Coturnix japonica: one gene and its partners. The protein of the gene in region 2 interacts with the protein of the main gene of each other region in a pairwise test. Links are inferred from orthologs where the notes say so. Each region holds a gene or a part of one and is shown on either strand. Other genes may lie near its edges.

The links.
Region 1: the proteins of WT1 (region 2) and DVL3 interact in binary tests that used the Homo sapiens proteins (3 or more experiments, as listed by UniProt). The link is inferred for Coturnix japonica from reciprocal best matches to the Homo sapiens genes WT1 and DVL3.
Region 3: the proteins of WT1 (region 2) and WTAP interact in binary tests that used the Homo sapiens proteins (3 or more experiments, as listed by UniProt). The link is inferred for Coturnix japonica from reciprocal best matches to the Homo sapiens genes WT1 and WTAP.

What each region holds. Positions count from the first base shown.
Region 1 is NC_029524.1:13,824,245-13,826,944, forward strand, and holds the end of DVL3 (segment polarity protein dishevelled homolog DVL-3), read left to right. Parts: coding exon 1-32; intron 33-622; coding exon 623-835; intron 836-1,111; coding exon 1,112-1,510; coding exon of another isoform or gene 1,511-1,536; exon of another isoform or gene 1,537-1,981; coding exon 1,982-2,013; 3' UTR 2,014-2,200; downstream 2,201-2,700. UniProt on the Homo sapiens protein: Involved in the signal transduction pathway mediated by multiple Wnt genes.
Region 2 is NC_029520.1:4,407,021-4,418,445, reverse strand, and holds the start of WT1 (Wilms tumor protein), read right to left. Parts: upstream 6,156-11,425; 5' UTR 6,130-6,155; coding exon of another isoform or gene 6,076-6,129; 5' UTR 5,746-6,075; coding exon 5,355-5,745; intron 3,219-5,354; exon of another isoform or gene 3,110-3,218; intron 1,944-3,109; coding exon 1,821-1,943; intron 1,735-1,820; coding exon 1,632-1,734; intron 667-1,631; exon of another isoform or gene 652-666; coding exon of another isoform or gene 647-651; intron 1-646. Other genes in the region: uncharacterized protein LOC107314335, read left to right, coding at 6,076-6,129, 6,208-6,442, 6,568-6,812, 6,969-7,310. UniProt on the Homo sapiens protein: Transcription factor that plays an important role in cellular development and cell survival. Recognizes and binds to the DNA sequence 5'-GCG(T/G)GGGCG-3'. Regulates the expression of numerous target genes, including EPO.
Region 3 is NC_029518.1:41,042,751-41,053,376, forward strand, and holds the end of WTAP (pre-mRNA-splicing regulator WTAP), read left to right. Parts: exon of another isoform or gene 1-373; intron 374-3,257; coding exon 3,258-3,412; intron 3,413-5,135; coding exon 5,136-5,719; 3' UTR 5,720-6,362; downstream 6,363-10,626. Other genes in the region: SOD2 (superoxide dismutase [Mn], mitochondrial), read left to right, coding at 9,922-9,950, 10,458-10,626. UniProt on the Homo sapiens protein: Associated component of the WMM complex, a complex that mediates N6-methyladenosine (m6A) methylation of RNAs, a modification that plays a role in the efficiency of mRNA splicing and RNA processing.

The DNA of each region.
Region 1 (2,700 bases), on a different chromosome or scaffold from region 2:
GTGCTATTACATCTTCGGGGACCTCTGTGGAAGTACGACACTTGACTCTTGGTTTGGCATGAGTGAGAGGGAAAAGATGAAGGGAGACAAAGTCCTGCAGAGCTCTGCTAACACAATGAGGGCGTACCTACAGTTATTACCACCAGACTGAGCTCTTTGTTCTGCAGACTCTGGTAGAGTGGGATAAAGAATATCCCAACTTGTTTGTTGTGCTGATGGAGCTGTGAAGTTGGAAGCAGCATTGACAGTGTCACCTGCTCTGTGTTCTTTTCACCTGCATAACCTTAGTCTTTGCCATCTCTTTTTTTCAAGGCCCTGAACTTCCAGGGTTGGAAAGTGCTCAGACAACTGAGTTATGCTTAAATGAGGGGGCTGGTGGGAGTTAATTAGTGAGGTAGAAGATAGCTGTGATGTGGTCCTTTCTGATGTGAAAGTTGTTTTACCCAGCCTGTTTTCCAGCCAGAAAGGGCAAATGCCTGTATTTCATGGCAGAGAGAGTGCCAAGTCCTTTAGTCTCCTTGCATGCCCCATCATTGTCCCTGTGAGGGCGGACATGGAGCTTCAGCATCACATGTGGCTGTCTTTCCATTTGGCTTAAGCCCTCTTCTCTGCTTTCTTGCAGACATGGCTAATCTGTCCCTTCATGATCACGATGGCTCCAGCGGTGCTTCAGATCAGGACACTTTGGCTCCGCTCCCACACCCAGGAGCTGCACCCTGGCCCATGGCTTTCCCGTATCAGTATCCACCACCTCACCCATACAACCCACACCCCGGCTTCCCTGACCCAAGCTACAGCTACGGAGGGGGCAGTGCAGGCAGCCAGCACAGTGAAGGTGAGTGGAAAATATCAGAATGTGCCTGTGTGGGCAGATGCAGCAGGAAAAGGCTGCTCCTTTAGACAACACCTAATGTATGGGGGGAGCAAGCATAAAAGCCTTCGTTTTGGTGAATTCCAGAAGGGTTATGTGACTCAGCATTGAGAGACTGAGAGCATGGACTGTGCAGGCAGTGCTGCAGTGTGTTCAAGTCCTCTCTTGGTTAGAGGAGCATCCTTTCTTCCTGACTTGTCCCTTCTTATGATTCCTAATGTTGCCATGTGTACTTTGCAGGGAGCCGGAGCAGTGGTTCCAATCGCAGTGGCAGCGAGAGGAGGAAGGAAAGAGAGAAGACCGGAGAGTCCAAGTCCGGTGGCAGTGGGAGTGAATCAGACCACACCACGAGGAGCAGCATGCGGCGTGAGCGTGCGGCCAGCGAGCGCTCGGTGCCTGCCAGCCAGCACAGCCAGCGTAGCCAGCACTCTCTGGCTCACAGCATCCGCAGCCATCACAGCCAGCAATCCTACGGGCCGCCCGGCCTCCCCCCTCTCTTCAGCCCCCCCATGTTGCTGATGCCTCCACCACCGTCAGCCATGGGGCCCCCCGGGGCACCGCCGGGCCGTGACCTGGCATCTGTGCCCCCCGAACTGACAGCCAGTAGACAGTCCTTCCGAATGGCCATGGGCAACCCCAGTGAGTTCTTTGTGGATGTAATGTGAAGCGCCCGTCCCCTGTCTGTCTGCTGCCCCTCCTTCCCCCCCTTCCATCCCCATCGTTTGTCTCCTAGGACCAGCCCTGGCTTCATCCCTTGTTTTTTTGGGATTTTTTTTTTTTTTTTTGTCTTGATAACTAAAAGAAAAAAAAAAAGGGAAAAAAAAATAATAAATGGAACTAAACCTTGATTCTAATCCCTCCTCAAGTGGGGTGGACGGGCCTGGCAGCCCTGCTGCGTTCCACCAGCCCATCCCGCCACCAGAACCATGTATTGCTGATGGTTATTCCCTCCTGATGGTAATTCCCTCCTGCCATCCTCTCTAACCCCATTAATCCGCATCCATCCCAGCACCCTGTGCTGCTTGCCCGTGTGTCGCTGCTGCCTCACTCCTTCCGCCCTAAACATTCTCTTCTTTCTTGTCACCCTTTTGTGTTTCTTCTATCAAGCAGCAAAGAATTACGGGGTGTTTGACTTTCTCTGAGCCTGCTGCCCACAGGGGGGAGAGCTGGAGCGTGGCGTGGCCCGACAGGAGGACACGGAGCTCCAAGGGCGCTGTGCGCGCATGGCGCTGAAGATGGCTGCTTTTCTCCCCCTAGCGGAAGACGCCCTGAGAGGGGAGCCGGGCCCAGCCTTACATGAATTTTAAATCCCTTTGTAGTTGCCTTTCAGCCAATGTCTGAATGTTCCAGGGCTTCACTGCCTGTGGGGAATGGGGAGATGGTGCCCTTTGCCTCCCCTTCTTGCCCCGGCCTTAGGGAAGAGCACTCCTTCCCCCTGCCCTGTCCTTGGCACTGGGGCCATGCCCCCTGCCTTACTTCCTATGGGACTTGTAGAATTCAGGGCTATGGGGTGAGTGCTCACTTGGCCCAAAGAAGCCTAGAGAGGGCCTCTGCCCTGCTCTTTGCCCCCGTCACTTGCAAGGGCAGTCCTTGGGGCAGCTGTGGCTCTGCCATTGCAACACCACACAGCAGTGGGACCTTTTTGAGAGCTGAGAATGCAGCCAGTGAGTGAGGGAAGGCACACTATGGGGGAACACAGTGTTTGTGTGCAGAGAGGGGCAGCACTGACCTTACCCTGCTCCATTCCCTGTGTGCGATGCTTGGGAGGGACGTGAGCTTTGTGGGCAGTGCTTGCAGCTCCTCTGGGCTCACACAGAGCTGTGGGTCAC
Region 2 (11,425 bases):
AGGCACGAGGTGAAAACACGCTTACAAATGGTCATACAGACTCTGTCAAATCAGCTTCGGACAAAAAGAGGGCGGTTGATTCCCAGGCCGCCGGAAAAGCGGACAGCGAGACAGGCTCATCTCTGCACGGTACCTGGCCACCCGCTTGCCTTGACGGCACCACCTAACAAAACGCTTATGTGCAGGGCAAGTCGTTTTTCTCCGCATGCCTCTGCGCCCGTGGAGCTGAGGACAAGGGGTGCTCGAGCTCAGCCACCTGTTCTGGCTGCTTCAGTGGAACATGAGAAAAAGAACCCCTCGGATCACGCTTTGCAGACCCTTCGGAAGAACCGGCGCTGCTCGCCGGGGAAACGGCAGGAGTTGGGCTGGTTTCGCACCGAGGAGGGTCTCCACTCGAGGGAAGGGCTGCAGCCCTCACTGAGCTCGGAGCCGGTGGCCAAAGCGCAGAGCAGAGCGGCGAAGAAGCCGCCCCGCCGAGGGCAGAGAAAGCCCGCGGGGTGCGCTGCCTTCGTAAGGCTCCCAGCGTAACCTAATTATAGACGGCCCCGCAAGGGGAGCCGCTTCGGTCCACTCGGCCAGGAGCTCTCCCCGCCAATTATTCCACACGCTAATCTCTCTGGATAGGCTTCTTTCCTTCCTTCATTACCTCATTCCCTCCTTCCCTTGACGTCAACTCACGTTCGTTAGCGAAGCGGCTTCTGGAAGTGACAGAATTGTGTTGTCCCACTTCCAGTTCTGATTAATCAGAGGCGATAGACCCGGCCTACGAGAGGAGCCGCCGCGGCTTCCTTCGCGCAGGGACATTGTTTTGTGTGCTGCAGTTACTTAGCAACTCCGAGATACGGGACCGGCTCCAAGTTCACAAAAAGTTGAAGAATAAATTTTGGGGAACTTCTCACTAAACACGTTGTAAAACTGCGAGAGGCACGCCCAGCCCCCACGCCACACCAAAAAGGAAGAGAAGCCGCGATCGCAGCGGGCCTTCTGTTTGCGGGAGCAAAACTCCACAAGTACTTTCTTCCCAGCAAGGAAATCTGAGGGCTGTATCGCCCCGTGCTCCAAAAATCACCTCTCTGCGGTCCGGTCCCCTCCGCTCAAAGGAGTGGAGCCCAAACCTTACAGGGAACTGACATACAACCGCCCGACCCCGCACACTCTCGTCGCGCACCGCTGGCCCTGCCCTGCCCTGCCCTCCTCTGCCCAGCCGGGTCGCTGCGCCGTGGGGCCGGAGCGGGGCAGCCGCGCGTGGGGCTGCGGGCACCGGGCCCCGCCTCGGGCAGCGAGGGATGTTCTGGGACACGCTTGGACCGGGCTCGGCCGGCGGAGCCCTGCGGCCCGGGAACGGGGACGGCACCTGCCGGGTGCCCGGCTCGGCAGGGGAAAGCCCGAGGCGCGGCGGGTCTGGGCTATGGGGCCAGCGCCAGGTTTTTACTTAAACGCGTGCATCCTATTTTCCTTTTTGTTGTTGTCGTTGTTTTGCTTTAGTTTGTTTGTTTCAAGAGGAAAGCAGACCCGACCTTCTTTTCCCGCTGCAAAAGAAAGCCGTTGGCGCAACACGCCCGGCAGCAGAGCATCCCGAGCAGCAACCGAAGCGAAACGAGGGGAGTGAGAACGGGGCGAGGCGGAGGTACCTGTTGTAGGGGGTCCGCAGGAGCAGGGCCTGGCTGCCCGTGCAGCTGTCCGTGGGGGTGTGACAGCCGTACACCGGAGGGGGCACCGAGTACTGCTGGTCCCCTGCGGAGAAAGGGACAGGGTTAGCCCGTGCCGCGGCCGCCGTCCAGCCCCGCGCCGTGCCGGCCGGGCCGCCCGGGAGCCATTACCTAGAGACGGCTGCTGGCTCATGGGGTCCTCGTGTTTGAAAGAGTGGTTCGTAAACTGCGCGGCGTGGTGAGACGGCGTGTGGCCGTAGCTCGGAGTCCCGTCAAAGGCCACGGTGCCGTAACCTGCCGGAGAAAGCACCGTGGGGTCAGGGGGCTGCCCGGCCCGCACCTGCCCCCCGCAGGGCGGCTCCACGCGGCCGTCGAGTGAGAGAAGCCCCCAGGGCAGACCCAGCGCCGCGGGCACAGCGGGGAGAGGCGCAGCCAGGGGCGCCCCCATCTCCGCTCCCCCAGCACACCCACGGGCACCTGGGGGGCTGGGGGCGCAGGGAAATGCCTGTGTGACCCCGAGGGGTGCGGGGGTACCGGGGTGTGGGGCTGGCGGGGTACAGGGGGGCAGCTCCCGGGAGGGCCGAGGCGGGCAGCCCGCTCCTTGGGGAGGAAAGTCGGAAGTCTCGTTCACGTTTCAAGAGAACAGATCGGCTTCGGTAATAAAAAGGATGTTTTCATTAATTGTTGCTCATATTAAAGAGGAAGATTCCCATCTGCTCTGTGTACTCCTCTGCCGTTTCCAATTTAGAAGTTACCCTTTAATCTCTCTCTCTTTTTTTTTTAAGAGCAGCTTTCTGAAGAGTCTGCAATAAAGAATGTTTCACGCAAAACTAAAACTCCTCCTTTCAGCGAAAATTGCTCTCCAAAATAACAAACAGCCGATTTGGTTTCCTACGCTGGGCAGATTCAGATGGAACGCGAGCACCTCTGCTGACCCCGGGCCGCTGCGAGCCCGTAAATCAGGTGCTCGGACACCGACTTTCATTAATGACTTGGAGCTGGCTAAACAACTTCGGCTAAGAAAGTAATTACAAAGTAATATTATCTCGGCGGCTTCTCGGCTCGTCAGCAGTTGCCCCCAGAACCGAGCTCCTCCGAAGTCACTCTTCCAGCAAAACAAAACAGAAAGCCCGGAGAGGGCTGGGAAAACAAACGAGGCCGGCCCCGAGCGCCCGCTCTCACACCGTCCCGTCCCTCAGCCCGCTCCCTCTTCTCGGGCACTCGCCGGACTCCTCTGCCAGCCCCCTTCGGACCCTGGTGCCCGGCTGATAATCACAGGCGCTTTTCCGAGGCGTTACGATGGGAGTAACGCAAGGATCCGGGTGCCGTTTCCGCAGTTGATTGTCTCTGCAGACAATAAAGTGGATCGAGCCGCGATACGGGGGTTGACCAACCTGCTGGTGTCCCCATCAGAAAAAATGTCCCCAACAGAAAAATCCCGAAGGCTTTATAGCCCTCACCTTCGGGACTGGTTGGAGCCGACCCGGCACGGCGGGGCTCACTCGCCCCGGCCCATCGCCTGCCCCCGCCCGGAGCCGCTCACGGCGGTGCGAGCGGCGCTGACAGCGCGGTACCGTGCGGGATGCCGGCCCACAGCTGCGCCTCTCGCTCCTTATCTCCTCCCTTGGCCCTCAGGGCAGAGGCTCAGCCTTCAACTCCCTTTCCCCCTTTTCTTCTTTCTTTCTTTTTTTACGTTCCGAAAACATTGACACTTTCTACGGTACATTTGGCCCGGCGCAGATTTTTGGCGACCTTCACAACGCAGCTCGGTGCAGAACGATGTTTTGGCCGCATTTTCCGGTGTTGCCTGACCCAAAGCTTCAGGAATGTGATAAGAAAGCCGAGTTCTGAACCGAGCTGCCGATAGCGAGGTCTCTTTAATTAGGGCTTTATCAGAGTCGGGCCTGATTAAAATGTGCTGAAAATAATTGAAAGCTATACAGCTGCTGCAGCACGGGGCCCGCGGGAGGACTCCAGTTGTGGAGGAGCCCAGCTTGGATGAAGGAGACGGGCGGACCAGAAGGGGAAAGCTGGGCAGAGCTTCCAAAGCCTCGCTCCCTACCCCCACGCCCCAGCCTAGACTTGGCTGAAGTGTCATCGCAGAGCCAAGGTAACGTCTTTCCCACGGTCGGAAGAACAGGCTATAAGCCCGGGAGTTCAACCTTGAGGAGAGCGAAAACAAGAACTTTTTATCCGCTGCCGAGAATAAATAAATCAATCAATAGAAAAGCGAGCACCCTTTGCCGAATTCCTCCTCGGCGAAGGAAGGAACGCTACCCGGACGGGCCGGAGCGGGAGGGAGGGAGGGGCTGCGCCGCAGCCGTGCTGCCCGAGCTCTGCCCCCCGCAGCAGGGCACGGCCACGCACACACCTGCACGACTCGCTGCCAAGTGCGGGAGCTGCCGCCGTCTCGGGGTACAGCGGTGTGCCCGCGAGCTGCGGAGCCGCCCGCACGGAACCCTGCCCGGCTTAAGGCCGCAGCCAAGACGGGTGCTGTGTTTCTGAGCGTTAAAGGCTCCCTTTCGCTTTGGGGGCTTAGAAATCAGAGGGCACCCACTTAACCACCTTGTCCTTCTCGTCACTACTTCTGCTCGGCCATTAAAACCGTCTCAGATATCTGAAATGCTTTCAGGTGTCCGAACAACACCAGCGGCCCCGTGCTGCGACGGCCGCCTCTGGGGATGCCGCGTAACTTCCCCAACCGAGCTGGGCCCTGCGCTCCGCTCCCAGTTTTTCGATATCGGCAGACCGGCAAACGCCTGGTCCGGGCCCCCTCTCCTTTACCCCGGCCCGCCTGGGAGCAAAGGCACCCCGCAACAGCCGGGAGCTGGAGGCCGGCCACCCGCAGCACCCAATCTACGGCCCGAGGCTGGCTGCTGGGCCGCGGAAGAGCGGAACACCCGCCGGCAGCGCAGAGCCTGCCCCGAGACCCTCCGGTCGGCTGCGACAGCGCTGCTCCGGGCCCGCTCCTCCAGCCGCCTCGCCGTGCGTGGGCACCTTCCCCCGGGCCGGGCAGAGCGGGGACGGAACGCGGCGGGAGGCGCAGCCCGGGGATCCCCAGCGAGAGCTCCGCTCTCTCTCCCTTCTTGTTCGCGTTAGCTCCAGCAGATGTTTACATTGCCGCCGCTGGAAGAAAAACCATTAAGCGATAACCCCGTTCCGTAGGCGGGGGCTGACCGATCGTTAACCGCGCACCCACGCCAATTTCTGGGGGCAGCGCGAACAGCGGGGCCACGACGCTTGCAGCCCGCCGTGTCCCTGCCGCGGAGCCGCCGAGAGGGAACCAGAAGCCGCCCGGTGCGTGCGGCCCGGCCCGAGGAGCCAGCGCTCCCGAGGTAGGTCCGACAAACGCCCGGAGAACAGCACCGGGCGGACAGCAGCCCGCATATTCAGGAGGAGGTAAACAACTCTACCCCCGCCCCTACACTGCACGGCTTGCAGAGGGAATGGTCTGAGGGCAGCCACCCCATCTCCACGTCGGGACCGTCCTCAGCCCGAATACAGTCCCGAGAAGAGAGGAGGCTGCCGTAGCCAGGGCCGAGGCCGGGGTAGCCCGCTGCGCCCTTGGGAGAGCCGAGAGCGGCTCCCGGAGCTGCCCGGAGGGGCGCGGCAGGGGCTCCGTACGTTCGGCAAACGCGGGTCGGAGAGCCCACGGCTGTGCCCGCGGGGCTGAGCCCGAGGCCGGGTGCTCGGCGCCGCCCTTACCCTGGTTGCGAATGGCTTGCTGGCTCTCCAGGCAGTTAGGCAGGTAGGGCCCGTTGGGGAACATCCTGGCCTGGCCGGAGGGCGGCTGGCTGGGCGGCGGGGCGCCGAAGGGCCCGTAGCGGCAGGCCCCGGCCGTGCCCGTGAACTGCCCGGAGAAGTGGACGGTGAAAGCGCTCAGGTACTGCTCCTCGTGCGGGTCCGACCCGTTCCAGCTGGGTTCCTGCTTGATGAAGGAGTGCGGCCCCAGCGAGCCGTAGGAGGCCCCCGGGGGGAAGTCCAGGACGGGAGCCCACTGCGCCGCGCTGCTCACCGGCATGGCGCAGTTGCTGTTGCCCGGTAGGGAGGGCACGGAGGGCAGCAGCGCGTTCAGGTCCCGGACGTCGGACCCCATCTGCTCGCAGACCTTCTGCCTGCCGCCGGGCAGCCAGTCTCCCCCCGGGCCGCACTTATTCCAGGACACCTGGCCTCTGCCCGCCAGGCCGGAGGCCGGCTCCGGCTGCAGGCACCAGGCCGGAGAGCTCAGCCCCTTGGGGGAGGTTTGCTCCGCGACGCAGCTCCCCGGGTCCAGCCCTGCGGGAGCGGGCAGCAGCGACAGGGAAAGGTTGTTCTCCAGGATCGCCTCCGGGGCCGCGCCCGCTCGTAGCGCAGGGCGGGGTGCGCGCGTGTCCGTGCGGCCGCGGCCGTGTCTGTGTGTCTGTCCGCGCGTGCCGTGGGGGGGGGGATGGCACAGCCGCCTCGCACGCCGCACCTCGGCTGCCTGCTCGCCCTCAACTTTGCAAAGCTCAAATAGAGGCGCTCGCAGGGGAGGAGGAGTCAGCCGCGAAGATCCTCCATTCACACAACCTTCGTCAAGGGGCTGCCCACAGCCCGCTCTGCTGAACCGACCCGGGCCAGCCGGGGGTGGGGAGCGCGGGGGGTCGGGGGGTGGGGACGCGAGGACGGAGGGGGAGAGGTTACTGTGGGAGAATATATCTCCCTTACGCATCCCTCCCACCCTTCCTCCGGTGCAAGCGCCACTAAATCTCACCCTAACATCCCTTCGCTTTTGAGAGACCTGGCGAGACCGCCAGAGGGATGCGGGCGGCCCCGTAAGTACGTGCCGCACCGCTTCCCGCAGCCCCGCGCACGTCCCGCGGGACCCCGGGCACCGAGCGGAGAAGCCGCCACCCCTGCAGGCGAGCCGACCCGGCGAGGGAAAAATGTGTCCTTCCAGGTGCTCTCCCCGTGCGGGAGACGTCCGCGTCCCCCGAGCCGCCCGTGCCTAGAGGGGAGGAGGTGGCTGGGCTGCCGCGGAAGGACCGCAGCACAACGAGCGCCCGCATCGGGGACTCACCCGGCGCAGCTCCGGGGAGGACCCGCACTCTCCCTTCCCTACCCAGCCCGGACGGCGGCTCCGCAGCACGAACCCGGCGGCACTTCACGCGTTATCTCGGACAGCCCTCCCGGTCAGCTCGGCGGGTTGGGGGCTAGCCCCGGCAGCCAGGGGGCCGCGACCTTTTCCCCGCCCCTACCGGCAGGGCGGACGGCGAGGCCCCCGGGACTCGGCCGTGCCTGCCGCGGCCAGGCGCACCACGGCATCCGGCGCAGATACGAGCCCGCCGCCTCCCCCCGTAGACGCGTACCAAGAGCGGGATCCTGCCCCCCTCCTCCCGAAGTACTCATCGCTATCGACCCGGCGGGGGGAAGGCTGAGCCCCTGGGGCACGCGTATGACAGCTCCGCCGGGCCGCTTGTGGGTGCGCTCCCGTTGCGCCCCGAGCTCGGCCGGCAACACTCGCACCCCCGCGCCCCGGTCAGAAGTCGCTCCCCCGAAGCTGTAGTGATAAAAGCGGTTACCTGCCGCTGGAAGGGTGGGCCCCGATGTCCTCCGGTGGCAACTCGCGCTGCGGCGTTCACGTTCCCCGCGGCATTAAAGGTTAGCGCTGCTTCCATCGCCGACCTCCAAACGATGTTTTAAAATTGCTGCAACAAAATAAATCGAAACGGCCCGTTACTGGCGAAGTCGAGTGTAATTTCATGTTGTCCTTACATTGATTAACAACACCCGTAGGGTTCTGCTACTAGTGAAACGGCGTTCATTTTCACACGCAGTCTTCAGACAAATCGCTTTTAAATCGCCCTCTTAGATGTGTACATAAGTGCGTTTGTTACACAAATCCGCGCGCACGATAAGTGCGAAAGGTTTCTTAGCCAATACTAAGGGCTGCGTAACTTTGAAGGAGCTGCTGCTCTCTGTGAGGACGCACAAAACGAATTTGGTCTCGGGAGATGAGCGAGTTCAGCCCGCTCCCGCGGAGAGAGGAGACCGCTCCCCTCTGCCCCCGCCCGCCCCCGCTGTGTGCTCGCAACCCGCCGCTCCCGCACCCGAGGGGTCCCGAGGCGTGGAACGGTGCGAGAAGGTCGGGGCTGCTGCTGGACCTGGACTTTCAGAGATGGACCAACATGTGGAGTCGGTCCCGTTAACCGCAGGCTCCAAAAATCTACAACGTACGTACTTAAATACAAACCCTTGTGTAGCTTAAGCAGAGCATTTGATTCCCCGTGAAAACCAGACTTCTCTTAGTACAAACAGAAAGCCCTTCCCGCAGCGGAACGGTTCCTTAGTTTGCATGCTTTTATCTATCTATCTTTCTTTTTTTTTATTAGCCTAACTTGAGAAATATTCTGGAAAAGGAGCAACGTTTTCTCGATCGCTTAGTTCTGCATTATTCCGCCCGGGAAGAATACCGAAGCCCTTCCAAATCTTCGCCCTCGCATTCCCAGCAGACACAGCCGAGAGCTGAAGCAAACAGCGCCCTCGGCCATCAGCTCATCTCCCTCCCGGCGGCCCCCGGCTCGGCCCGCAGAGACCCTGCGGAAGGCACCGCGCCTGGCACCTGCGCCTCCCGACACACGGCAGCCCGCAGGGACACCGGGCAGTGCGGGACGGAACGGGAGGACGCTCCTCAAAGCTGAGCCGGGACACGGCTTCAGCCGACAGGGGCAACCCGAGAAGAGGGGAGGGCTGGAGTCTTTAGGGAAACAGCCGGAGTCAGCTCCCGCAGCCGTTTCTTTACAGTCAGCACAAGCGAGAGATAAAAGCTCCCTCCTCCTTTGCGGGGTCGGAAGCGCTCCGGGGCCGCATGTCCCCTTCGAAGCAGTGCGGCGGGCACAGGGGACACCGCTCGCATCCTTCCCGGGTGCCCGGAACCTGCGCCCGGGCCCCTCCGGCGGGATCACGCCGCGCCCCGCAGCCCATCCCGGGCTCGGCGAGGCTCAGAGCGCAGAGCCGCCGGCTGCTCTGCCGGGTACCGACCCACACGGCCGGGACCTTCCCACCCTCTGCCCTCCAAAGTCGGTCCGAGCCAAATCTCGGACGGGCAGAAAGATGGGTGAATAGTTTTAACCTATAATTCCCGGGAAACCATCCACGTCCGATGCTGCTCACGGGCTAACGGTACGAGACCAACCAACGAGTATTTCTGGGACAGGGGTTGTTCTACAGAAAGCTCCGCTCGATCCTGGGAAAAATGGGCTCAGGGCGCTGCTCCCGAGCCGTGAAGCACCTCCCAGGCAGCGTTCCGCTCTCCGCTGCTGGGCCAACCAGTTAACGGCCCAGCCATCCTCACCACGCTTTACTAAGCTCCATAAACGATCCCCTCGCGGCTCGAAGCGGGGGGAGACTGGCTTAAACAGAGATAAATCCCCAGCGCTGTCGGAGCCGCTCACGGCACGCAGGGGGATCTGTGTCCTTTCACTCGGGGAGCCGATCAGAGTTTGATTACTTAAGCGCCAAGAGCAGCAGAAACAGAGCTGCGAACAGCTCTACAGGAGCGCGGAGAGGCGAAGAGGGGCCGAATTTCTGCTCACACCGCGGGCTCACACCGCGGCCCGACCTCGCTCTCCCCGCAGGAACAGATTCGGGCGGGGGAGACCCCCGGGCCGCCCGCTCCTCCTCGCAGCGCCCCCCGCGGGCGGCAGCTCCCGCTCGGCCCGAGGCCTCGGTGCCGATCTCGGCCGGGAGCCGGGACTCAAACCGCTTTTCTACCGTAAATCTTCCGAACGCTGGAACTAATTACGGAGGGGATGTGTTTCAATTTGTTCCGCATTAGCGCCGCGCCGGACCGCGGGCACCAAGCACGGGAAATTGATGAGCCGAGCCCCGGGCATCCCGCCGGCTCTACGGCCCTGACCCCGCGCTCAACCCGGAGAGCGGAGCGGGGAGGGACGGGACGGGCTCCGCGCTCCGCCTCCCGCACCTGCGGGACCCCGCGGCCACCCGGAGCTGCGATCGGAGCCCGGGACGCTGCGCTGTAGCGCCTAAAGCCCCCGCGAAGGGCACAAGAGCCGAACTGTGCCGAACTGCCGATGTGATGCTGGGAGCCGGCGCAACGCAGGGTGTCTTTGCGCTCCCTGCCCTGGCCGAGGTGCTGGGGATGCTCAGGCTGTGCCAGCAGTCGGCCACAACTTTCGGATCCGGTATATGTGGCGTATTGAAAGTCTCAGTTATACAAGGGGAAATATTCATGGAGCGGCTAAAATTATGAAATAGAATTCTCACAGGATTTTGGTACTTAGAAAAGAAACTGGGTGAAAAAAAAGCCCTTAGGTATATAGATAGATAGAAATGCCCAGGTCTTTACATTATCCCCAGTGGTTCTGAAGTAATTAAAATTATTATTTTTGGAGGAGAAAATAAGAATATACTGTAGAACGCAGCACATCATAAAAATGGATACATGGAAACCACGATCTAAGGGATTCATTTTTCCTGTTGTAGAATGCAGATTTCACTACATAAGTATATTTCACTCTAAATGCAATAGTACAGAAGGAAATCAGAAACGGTACCTGTTACACACAGAGATCCTAAGAATTCTTGGAGCTCCCTGGGATGTTGCATTTGAACACAGATACACACCTGAAATGTAAAAGAAACATTTATAGATTCAGAAGTGATAGGAAACATTCAGAGTAAACCTGCTGTGCTCATTGCCACACTGCAGTCTTTGTGGTCACCAGTGGGTAAGCAGCGGCAGCTGATAGCACCAGCAGCCTCAGGTCTCGCTGCCTGTAGGGTGTTATGGAAGGGGCACAGAACAAGAATTGCTCCGTCCTGGTTTCTCCAGCAGATCTGAACCAACCATGTTTTTCTTAATACTATCTGTGCCTGCTTTCACGTTACAGCATCACTGTGAAACAAGCACACTGCAACAGCACAAAGTCCATATCTCACTTTGTTCTTTCAAAGCCCCTTTTTGCAGTAACCCTGCATGAAGATACTCCTTCCACCAGCCCTCCTCAGGGGAAGCAAATGATGTTTTGGGGAGGTTGCTCTGACTTGAGCTGAGATCTCAGTACTTTTCACAGGACTCAGAGGAATACGTGCACACAAGCACCTGACTAAGGGTGCTTTAGGGCAAGAGCTGTTCCACTGAAATCAGTGCTGGAGGATTTCAGTCTATAAGGACGTAACACCTTGCTGCATGCAGGGGGGGAAGCAGGCAGAGTCTCTTTGATTACAGATGCCCAGGAGACAAGGTGCAGCCCTGCAGCTTCATTAGGAACTGAGCACACCTCGTCCTGCACTTAACTGCAGTCCTATGAAGGCACACCTCTCTTCTCTCTCTCTGGACTGAATGTACTGATATGTCTGGATTGCAGCAGTACACAAAAAGCAAATAAGCTCATTATTTTCCTCATCCAGTCAGCTAGAAGCAACAGTCAGTGAAAGTGTAGCTCTGATCAAAATGGGAACTTTCCCAGTTCTTTACTCTGAAGCTTCCCAATGTATTCTTTTGTTTGAGGCCAAAGATTTATGGCCAGGCCCTCTGTTATGTGCTAACACTGCTGCATGTGATAGACAGTTGGAGATGAAGCTTGTGGGAAGAGGTGCAGGAAGAAAGGAGAGAGAGGGAGCTCGTGTGTTCAGCTTGCCTTAGAAGTCAAATTTATTTGTTATGAGACACAAGAGACTCCTTTCCCTTCAGATCTGAAGGATGCTTGATTACCTTACATCCACTTGAGTACTGTTATGACAAAAGAACTAAAAACACCAAGATCTTGCCGTAGCCACAAAGTCAGAGACTCTTA
Region 3 (10,626 bases), on a different chromosome or scaffold from region 2:
TTTTCACGTCAGTTGGATGATATTTTATGACTGTCTGATTCTAGAAAAATGCAGTTTTAAGTTAAAAAAGATTCAGCTGTCACAGAAGGTGATGTATTCTCTTTCAATGATTTTAACTAAGGTAATGTTACATATTTTTAACTTAAAATTATCACCTGTGCATTTGACGGATTAATATGGGATTGAAGATTAGTGTACTTACGCAGATTTATTTTTTTGCATGAGTAATGATTTAACAGCAAAGAAAAACATCTAGGAAAACTTTAAGTGATTCATCTGGGATTATTTTGCTATAGCAGAGTCTAAGATTTTAATGATCTAGCATCAAAACAGAGGTAAGACTTGCGTTAATAAACTGTTAATGTGTCGCCAAGGCATTTGTAAAGCTTATTATAATGTGCTGATAGAGTCGTGCCATGTAGATTGCTTGTTTTACTTGGGGTTCAGAAATGATTCAAATACCATTAAGTACAGCTTGATGGGTTTCCTCAAGTTCTCAGAGTCTTTAAGTGAGACACAACTGAGACAGAAGTAACTATTACCAGTTTCCTGATAAGGAAGGTATCAGTTTTTTTTTTGTCACTTCCGTAGCTACATTGTGCTTTAATATGCATCATATAATTTTAAGTCACAGTGGTGTGAATGTGCATAATTAAATATGCAATAGTTGGAGTAGAGAGAGAGAGATTTTATTTCCTGGTATAGAACTGAAGCTATCTGCATAACTGGTCATGATTTTATTGATTTTTTTTTTTTTCTGAAAGGGCAAAGAAATGATTAAATCATGTAAAGCATCTATAGAATTTTTAATTCTTTGCCCTTTTCCCCCCCTCTTGGTTTTAATTCTCCTTCCTTGTATGCAACCACTCTTATTACATGGTATCTGACTTGGTATTTAAAAGAGCTGATGCTTCTATTCACATCAACAGCTTTGTGTGTTCTTAAGAAAATATGCTGACTGCAACACTAAGCAGTATTAGTTCTAGACCTTAACCAAAGATAAAAGTGTACAGTATAATCCTTGCTAATGCCTAGGGAGAGAAATAGAAGAGCATCTGATTGAGGGAACGGTTATGTTAAGCTATTTGTAATGTCATTATACGTACAACGTACACTTGAATTAAAAACCAGTAATATCAATTGCAAAAAGCTTAATACAAAGAGCACTAGCTTTCTGAAACTTAACCACTTAATTCTTCCAGGTTTTGTTGTGTGTATGTTCAAGTGGATTTGTGGAAACAATGCCAAGTTTTAGTTTTAAAGCTAGTAGGAATTACTTTTCATAGTTACTGGATTTGATATTCTTGCATGTGTTGTATTCTATGTAAATTGCAAGGGAAGGCTACTTGGTGCCATGCTAACTCAGAACATCTGGAAAAAAACTTGATGGAAAGAAATAGCATTATAGGTAACTATGCAAATTTCTATACAGGTAATAAATACTTTACATTTTGGCAGGAATTACATGAAGGAACTGATGAGATTTTTAAACCTGTCCCAATGTCCGGCTACCTGGTACTTCTAATTCTGCAGGTGACATTGTTTTGTGGAGAGAAAAAACAGTAAATGACTTCAGCACTGTGAACTCCTTAAACTTGCAGTGAATGATGAATACAGTGACAAGGATTTGCAAATGCCTAAAAATCAATGCACATCTGCCGAAAAGCTTTTGGGGTTGCATCACATTGGTCATCTCCAAAGTGGTCCTGCTTCTTTGCGCAGAATGAACATCTCTAAGAAAACTTGCATCTTGTGTTACATGGATTGTATTATAGCTCAACACAGTTTAAACTTCAAGGACCTGACATTGGACATCACATCAAGAAAGAAAACAGGTTGCTGCCTTTAGCAGAATTGCAGGCTTCCAGGACCTTTTGCAGCCAGATTTCTTCTGGAGCAGCCCATCTGAGATTTGGGAGAGTCAGTTGGAAAATGTTCTGTGAGGCAGAGTTTGCAGAGCTTAAAATTGTTTAAGGCTTTAATGTTTGAAAGGTAGTTGATAAGAAAATTACTATTTACAATTCTTTTTGTTGCTTGTGTTGGTTGCAGGAGAGAAAGAGAATATGGCTGTGAATCACAGTAGTGGAAGTTTCTTATTGTTTTTTTTAATCCTCAAAATTTCTTTCTTTGTCACTTAAAACTTAAATGACCCTCTTGCTCTTGGATAGTAATGCAAATCCTGCCCTTGAATTCACAACAAACCTGTTCATGGTTTATAGTTTTATATTTTTTTTTTGCTACAGGGCTTATGCTTCTGTAGGAAGACAGATTTACATTGTGTTGCTGAGCCTTGTAAAAGAACTGATTGTGGACACTATTGTGAGTTTGGCAGACAGTTTGAAGGACTTTTGAACTCTTCCTCTTTTATGGAGTCGGCCACATTGCCTATATATTAATTTGCATACTACTTCCTATAATGCTTAACAGTACAGTTTTATTCGTCATGATTAATGATGTGATGTTACCTATTTAGCAGAGAAAATCTTGACAGCTCAGAGTACTTTTTTCTGCCCACTTCTCAAAGAAACTGGGTATTCTAAAACATTTATGATCTGAACTTGTCATTCTAAATGGGTGTTACTGCTTCCTTAATTTCCTGCCAACTTTTAACTGCATTTTACTTTCTCCTCATCATCTAAGATGTGCTGAGCAAAAGCTGATTATAGGAATTACTGTACACTGCTGTCAGATATACAAATTGAGTTGAAAAGTAGACATGCAACTCTTCAGTATTCAGAAGAATGTCCTAACCTCTCAGAGGAAAAATGGATGTCACTATAAACATAATGATCATTTTCTTAATATTTTGCCCCAACTTTGTTCTTAGTTTTACTCATGTGATAAAGGAAAAAGGCTTTTGTTAATAGTTTAGTGTATGCACTTTGAATGCAGTAATTAATCTTTAAAATTGCAAGGCACATCCTTAATCACTTAACTCAGCTGAGAATTAGCACATGCAAGATTGTGCGGGCTGGTAATCCAGTTTCTGGTATCAAAAAAAGAACGATGCTTGTTCATGTTTGCAGTAATAAAACTTGCCTTCTGCTTTATGGGACATCAACAGAAGATCAACTGACGCTGGAACAGCATGCGGTAATATAGGGAGATTTTCTGCTATGACAATTATGTTGAGACATAATGTTCCATGAATTGTGACATGCAGAAATTGTATCTCCTTTTTGTCTGTAATTGTGATTGAGGAAGGTTACAGAAGGTTTTGTCTTCAATTTGTGATAGATTGGTTCTTTCCTTTGCAGCCAAACAGGCAAAAAGTTAATGGCGAAGTGTCGAATGCTTATCCAGGAGAATCAAGAGCTTGGAAGGCAGCTGTCCCAAGGACGTATTGCACAGCTTGAGGCAGAGTTGGCTTTACAGAAGAAATATAGTGAGGAACTTAAAAGCAGTCAGGATGGTAAGGGATTTTCTTAAGAAAATGGAAGTTGCCTTGCACTTCTGCTAGCTTAATATTCTGATGATATGGGTATTTTTTTAAGTCTTTGCCAGAGTTAAAGGGCAATACCAAGTAAAACGTGACTGTCTTAAGTCTCTACTGGTAGCCTTAAAAAAAAAAAAATGCCACCAAAAAATAGAACAGAGGTTAAATTTTGGACTACTGGTGGGATTTGCAGCTCCTTGTAATGTGGGATTTGAACGTAAAACTACTAGACTTTGTAGGTCTTGCTATTTAACATGGGATATTAAGGTAAGCATGCATTGAAAAAACAGAAAGGTTGTGAACTGACTCATTTGGGAATTACTTGAAGGGGGGGGAGGGGGGAGAATGTAAGAAGAATAAAAATGCAGTTTTTTATTAAGCAGCTGAGATTAATTAAAATGTTCCATTATTGTACTCATGATCCAAATTTTACAGCGTTGTGAATGTAAATTAGAATTAGCTGTAAACTCTGGCATCTTGTATGTTTTAAATGGCAGGGAAATGCAAATTTTGAAAATCTTCAGCAGAAAATTCAGCCCACATTCTGTGTTCTTTGAGATGCTTGATGAAAGTACTTGTAGTCAGGTAGATTAGACAATAGATGATCTGATTAGTACACTTAAATCTTGAGACGAGCTAATTAATTAAACCCAGGTATCTTTGTTTCACACCTGGTGTCTGTAAGGTAGCATGGACATGATTTGGCATTTGTCTAATATATCTTGTTATTTTTTTTTAAGGGTATGGTGTTTTTTAGTAGCAAGTAGCCTTAGTAACTACTGTTTATAAACTAAAATGAAGTACCTTACCTAGTTCATAACCAAAGCAAAGTAGACATTTCTTTAATGATTTCTGCTCTTGAGTGCAGTGTAGTAAAGTAAGCTGCAGAACTACTATGTTTTTAGGCCCCAACTTCTTCCTCATATGAACAATGACTATGATAATCCTGATATTTTCTTAGTGATTTTTTTCCATGCTAACTGGCATTTAATTTTGATTTTTTACAACAATAAGCAGTTTGCATGTTACTTGCTCAGTTTCGTTAATGTGCAGTTGAATTCAGGCTGCCATGTTTATCTTTCAGGTCAAATTCTTTATGGTCCAAAATGCAGCCCCAGTTGTAAAAGATTTTTTTCTTCTGTACATAAGAACTTTGTGGAATGAACTTTTGTTGATAATAAATTCAACAGAAGTTTTACCCTCCCTGTTTGTGTCATGTTACACAGGATTAAATGTATTATAAGCAGCCGGAGCTGATGTTTCCCTGAAATGTGACTACAATTCTTTTGTCACTGGGTAGGTTTTTGTGATTATTCAGAACTTATCCCATGCAGATAAGCTTTTTATGGTCACCTTTACAGTATTTCTGCAATGCCCTGCACTTCAGTAAAAGCAGATATGTTAGAATCTATTTGCAAAATATGAATTATTGGAATTGAGCTGCTTTCCGTGCATCTTCTTGTCCAGAAATGAATTTCTTCTCATATATCCAAAGTCATAAACATAAAAAGTATAGCTGATAGTTTAACATCTCCTTCAGAGGCAGAATATCAAAATGGTGTGCATATCTAATGATTGAAAAAGTTGGTTGAGTAACTTCAGCATAAAATATTGCTACAGGATTTAAATTTTCTTGTCTGACGTTCAAGCTGTATGTGGGTTATTAAGTATTTGCAACACATGTGTTTTCTTTGTTTAGAATTGAATGACTTCATCATCCAGCTTGATGAGGAGGTAGAGGGTATGCAGAGTACCATTCTAGTGCTTCAGCAGCAGTTGAAGGAGACTCGCCAGCAGTTGGCGCAGTACCAGCAGCAGCAGTCCCAGGCCTCCAACCCAGGTACCAGCAGGACTCCATCTTCTGAGCCTACAGACCAGGGAGAGGCTGTGGGGAAAGACTGCAGCCGTCTGGCTAACGGACCAAGCAATGGTAGCTCCTCCCATCAGCGGACGTCTGGGCCTGGATTTTATAGGGAGGGTAGCAGCGCGGAAGATGACTTCCCGGCTTCTCCAGGGAATGGTAATAAGCTGTCCAACCACTCTGAAGATAGAACTGGTAGAGGAGGTGGTAGCTACATAAACCAACTCAGTACTGGGTATGAAAGTGTAGACTCTCCCACTGGCAGTGAAAACTCTCTCACTCACCATTCAAATGACACAGACTCCAATCATGATCCTCAAGAGGAGAAAACAGTAAGCGTGAAAGGTAACAGAACTACGGGTTCTCGGCATGTCCAGAATGGTTTGGACTCCAATGTAAATGTGCAGGGTTCAGTTTTGTAACATTTTTTCTGCAGCATTTTTATACAGTGTCATTTAAATTGGGAGAGGATACTGTTCAGAAGCCGTTTAAATTAGTGCATACTTGTCACAATTTTTGCCTTTTTGTGGATTTCTTTTTGCTTCGATACCTCTGCCACTTTGGGAATTTTAACAGTTAATTACGTTGAATGTTGCTAAAAGGACATTTGTGTAGCTCAAGTTATTTTTATATGAGTTAATGTGAAGTTGAAATGGAAATTATTTCCATAAAGTATAACATAAATGATGTCTGTACAAATCTGTGTATATCTAGAACCTGTGCTGTGTAAGGGCATTCTTACTCATACTGTTATACTTAACACCACCTTCGAGATTTGTCATAATAGCTGTGGGTTTATGACTGCCAAGTTTGCCCAGTACAGTAGTTTTATCACTAAAAGATGGACTTGCTGAAGGAGTCCCTTAGTAGTTTCAGTGTTAATTACAGTTTTTCCCACCATACATCTGTGCATTTTCTCCTTAGGTGACCGAATGTTTATGAATTGTGTGCATAGTTACTCAGTTTTTAAGAACTGTTGTATCCTGTTTATGCATATTGCTCTGTGACTCCAATATTATCTTACCTGTACTGACCAAACCTAAATAAAAACTTTTAATAATGTAATTTCCTCATTGTTCTCCCTTGGCTTACACGGCTTACTTGTATGCGGTGTCATACTCTTTGGATTGAATTTGTTTCTGCACCAGTCCTATCTAATACAGATTATGCCAAGTACCTGTGCTTATGTTATCATGTTAATTTCAGGCCAGCCTTTCAGTATTTATTCTACAGATATATATATATTTTTTTTTTCCTTATAGATAGTTTAAAAAACAACAAAAAAAAATTAATAAAAGCAAGCTTCATAGTTTGAAACTGGTTCTTGTTAAAACTTAGGAAGTGTCCTGGAGGTAAATGTGTCATAATTTAGTTTGTACTTCTAAGCGGTTGAATTACTTCTTAAGGTGATACTGTTTTTGATTGGTCTATGGAAGGGGGAGCTTAGTGAACTGACTTTGTAGGTGTTGCAAGTAGGGGGGAGAACACGCTGCTGTTGAACAAAGCAAGTCTGGAATTTCTCAGAACCTGAATTTCTGGTGATTGTTTTCTGTCTGTTTGTGGTTGTAGCAATATGGAAGGTGATGAAAAGGGTACCAACTTCAGCAAGCACTGCTGATAGGGGAAAAAGGAGAGTATTTAACTGTACTTTCAGGTCGACTTAAGTCTGGTTTCAGCATTTTTCTAACTAAGAATCTTGCAGTTACCAGACAGCTAATGCAATTCCCTCACATGCATCTGCTAAATTAATATTAAATAGCTTACAGTGTGCCATTTACTTTGGGAATACAGGAACTGTTGTTTGAAAGTAATATTTCTCTAAAGTTAGGAGATACTTGGGTGTAACTACAGGTTAGATAGTAAAATCATAGATTATAGAAGGGCTTCCATTGTATTAAATGAGAATTAACACCTCTAGTATTACTGTCTGCAAAAAGTAGAATTAGTTACAACTACTATTAGCCTTTGTGTATGTTGGAAACATACTAGTCTATGTACCACTGATACTTTAATTTCATAGAGCTTAATTAGAGGTTTAAAACAACTCAGCAGTCACTGGAAGTATTGATTCTATTGGTGATACCGCATGGGGTGGTTTGTTGTTGTTTCTTTTTTTTGGAACATTACTTCAGCCCTTACTGCCTGAAAAAAAGCAGTTAATGGACAGTTGGGCAAATAGAAATTAGGTGACAAGAAAAAAGTACCGGCATCCAAAGGTAATTTCTGGTTTACAAAAATCCCTGATAACATAAATATGTATTTGCTGGTGCTTTACATTTGGCTTTAATATCACCTGATTATACTGTGTATATATATGTACTTAAGATACTTTGTGTATATTATTATAAGTTTAAAAGGGTAGTAATAATGATAGACAGTTACAATGACTTGATAATACATATGGTAGAAAACCTTGTGAGAATGGTGGTGGTTCTGCTCTATCATGTAACCGGCTTGCTTTTTTGCAATGCTTACTGCAGAATAGTGAAAAGCAGTATAATAATACACAGATAAATGTTAAAATCAGTAATGTTCACATTCTGGCTGTCAATACATACAGCCTATGGTATGGCTCTTAATAATCCTGGAGATGACTGCTGGTGCGTTGTTTTCAGGAAAGTCCTGTTTTCAGGTTGGTTTTGATTAAGATAATTCATTTTGTGTCATACCTACTGATAAACTTAGAGTTTCGCTGCTCATTCTAGAGTACAGCTGGCTGATAACAAAAACTGAAGTTTGCATGGTATTCTTGAGGCTTTTAACTGGATATTGAGGGGGGGAGCTATTCTGTACACCTATGCATTACAATGCACTTTGATTCCCTTTGTGGATCTCCATGTGGGTTTGCTGGCAAATTCCAAGATGAGGTAAGTTATTCTAAACCTGGTTGTTCAGACTTCACCCCTTCTGCTGTCTTTAGTCCTGTAAATTTAGGTTAAGATCTCTGAACATAAGTGCTTATATAAATAAGGCCAAAAGAAAAGAAATGGTTTGTGGCAGCAAAGAGATTTTCCCCAATTATTTGAATTAAACTTCATCTAGTGTTAGTCTTCATTTTGCACAATGCTTCATTACTGAGGGAAGGACTCTCTTCATTGGCCTTAGGGAATAAGTAATTTTACATGGTTTTTTTTCAACTCCTTTGCACTAACTATTTAATACTGATTATTTTAGCTGATGGAGTTAAGGTGCATGAAGCGTTCTCACGAGCATTAAGGGCCATGGATGTTGGGAGAAAATGGATATTGGAAAATGAGATATGCAGAGACGTGAGAAAGAGAACTCAAATGGAACAAAAAGAGTAAGTAGATCAAATAGACGAAAAAGTTTCTAAGTGCCTCGTTCTCAGCAGTTGAGGTGGGTAGCTCCTAATGGCATCTGACCTTTGAAGGGGAGTGCCAGGCTGCTCGCAAGCTCTGGTACAGGCTGCTGCCCTGCCTCTGCTTGCAGTACTGACACAGGGGTTTCCAGTGCCTCTACTGTATGCCCAGGCATAACAGAGTGAAGTGACAGTCAAAAGACCTCTGTATTTGCTTCCTGTTTAGAAATGTCCACCTAAGAAACTGACTTGTTTCACACTGTGGTATGCTGAAAATGTTGAAATGTGAAGTATTCTACATACCTGTTCCACCAACCATTGCATTTGAAGTCAAGGGATGGCTACGTTTGATACATCTGTTATATTAAAAAAACAAAGGAGGACATATCATAACAGTTCTTTCTGTAGCCTATTCCTACTGCATTATGAAGCCCTAAGAACATCCCACTCTGCATGGGTCAAATTCTGACAAATTCCTCAGCTTACAGCTCATATTTTATATGATAATAAATGGGAAAAATACACACAGACTCCTGATGTCAAAGGGAACTGCTGTGGTGCGTTCAATGGGCCTGTTATCAAGGCCTGCTGCCAAGCCTTTCTCCAGCAGGCTCTCAGGGCTGAGCTGCTTGCTTCTGGCAGCACTGCCCATGTCATAGGTAAGACCTGCACACAGCAACATGCAGGATTCTTTTTAGAGTTTTACTTTGTTCTCTTCACTTACCCCATTGGATGTTTTCTCTCCTGGATCTAGAGCTATCACTGGGAGCACTGTGCCTATTGGTCTCACTAGTGTTGCTTAGAAAAATGACCCTGCCTATTTCTGCTTGATTTTAACCTCTGAAACATCTAGCGGCTGATCTAAGCAACTTTTTCTTCTGTGAATTGGATTAAGCATGCTGTATGTAACTTCTTTTTTCCATGTACTATTTCAATCAGTCTTAATGTGTTGCATCTGACCCCCACAAGTGGTGCACCTATCTAGTTAGTCTCTGTGTTACCTGTAGACTTACTTATATATTACATGGTCAGCACTAGGACTGTTACTCTGGCTTTATCAGTGAGCTGCTGTTCACTGCTCACATATACCACTGGTCTGGTAAGCAAGTCAGTGGCTCCACCTTCAACCCTGTACAGTGTATTAAAGGCACGTGTCTTTTAAACACCAACAGCGATTAACAACCCCTTGAAACCAGGCCTATCGACCCTCCCTCACGCACCCTCCCCTCCGTCAGGCCCCGCCCCGGCAGTGTGTGCACAGGCGCGGTGTGTGGTGGCTGCAGTGTCCGCCGCGAGCTGTCCGCCATGTTGTGCCGCCTGGGCTCGGCGGGCAGGTGAGAGCCGCGCCGCCGCCGGGAGGGAGGAGAGGTCGGGCTGCCGTGCTCGCCTCCGCCCTGCAGCGTGACGGGCAGCCGGGCCGTGGGCTGCCGTGTGCGGGCCGCGGGAGGGGGCGGAGGAGCTGTCACCTCTTGTGCTGTCCCTTTCAGTTCAGTAAGAGGGGGTGGCGGTGCCGGCGATAGCACTGCGAGGTGCAGCCGAGCCGGGCAGCGCGGCTGGGACTGGCCTCAATGGGGCTGTAGGATTTCGGCCTTTTTTCGTATCAAGGTCACCTGTGCGAGGGCCCTCGGGGCTGACCTTCCTCCCAGCCTGGAGTGCTTCCTGTCGTTGCGGCGCAATAACGCGGGTTAGGAGGTGGTAGCTCTACATTGAGAAGCCCCGCTGACCTTCATGTGGGCAGCTGGCCGTGGCAGGCCGGTTTTTCACTCTGCTAAAGGCGGTAAAGAGCAAGTACTGCACGAGACTGATTCCTTCACTCCTTCCTACTCTCGTTTCCCATCTAGGAGCAGGGCTGCGCTGGTAGCGCCTTTGGGGTGCTCGGTCGCAAGGCAGAAGCACACTCTGCCTGACCTACCGTACGACTATGGAGCGCTGGAGCCACACATCAGTGCTGAGATCATGCAGCTGCACCACAGCAAACACCACGCCACCTACGTGAACAACCTGAATGTT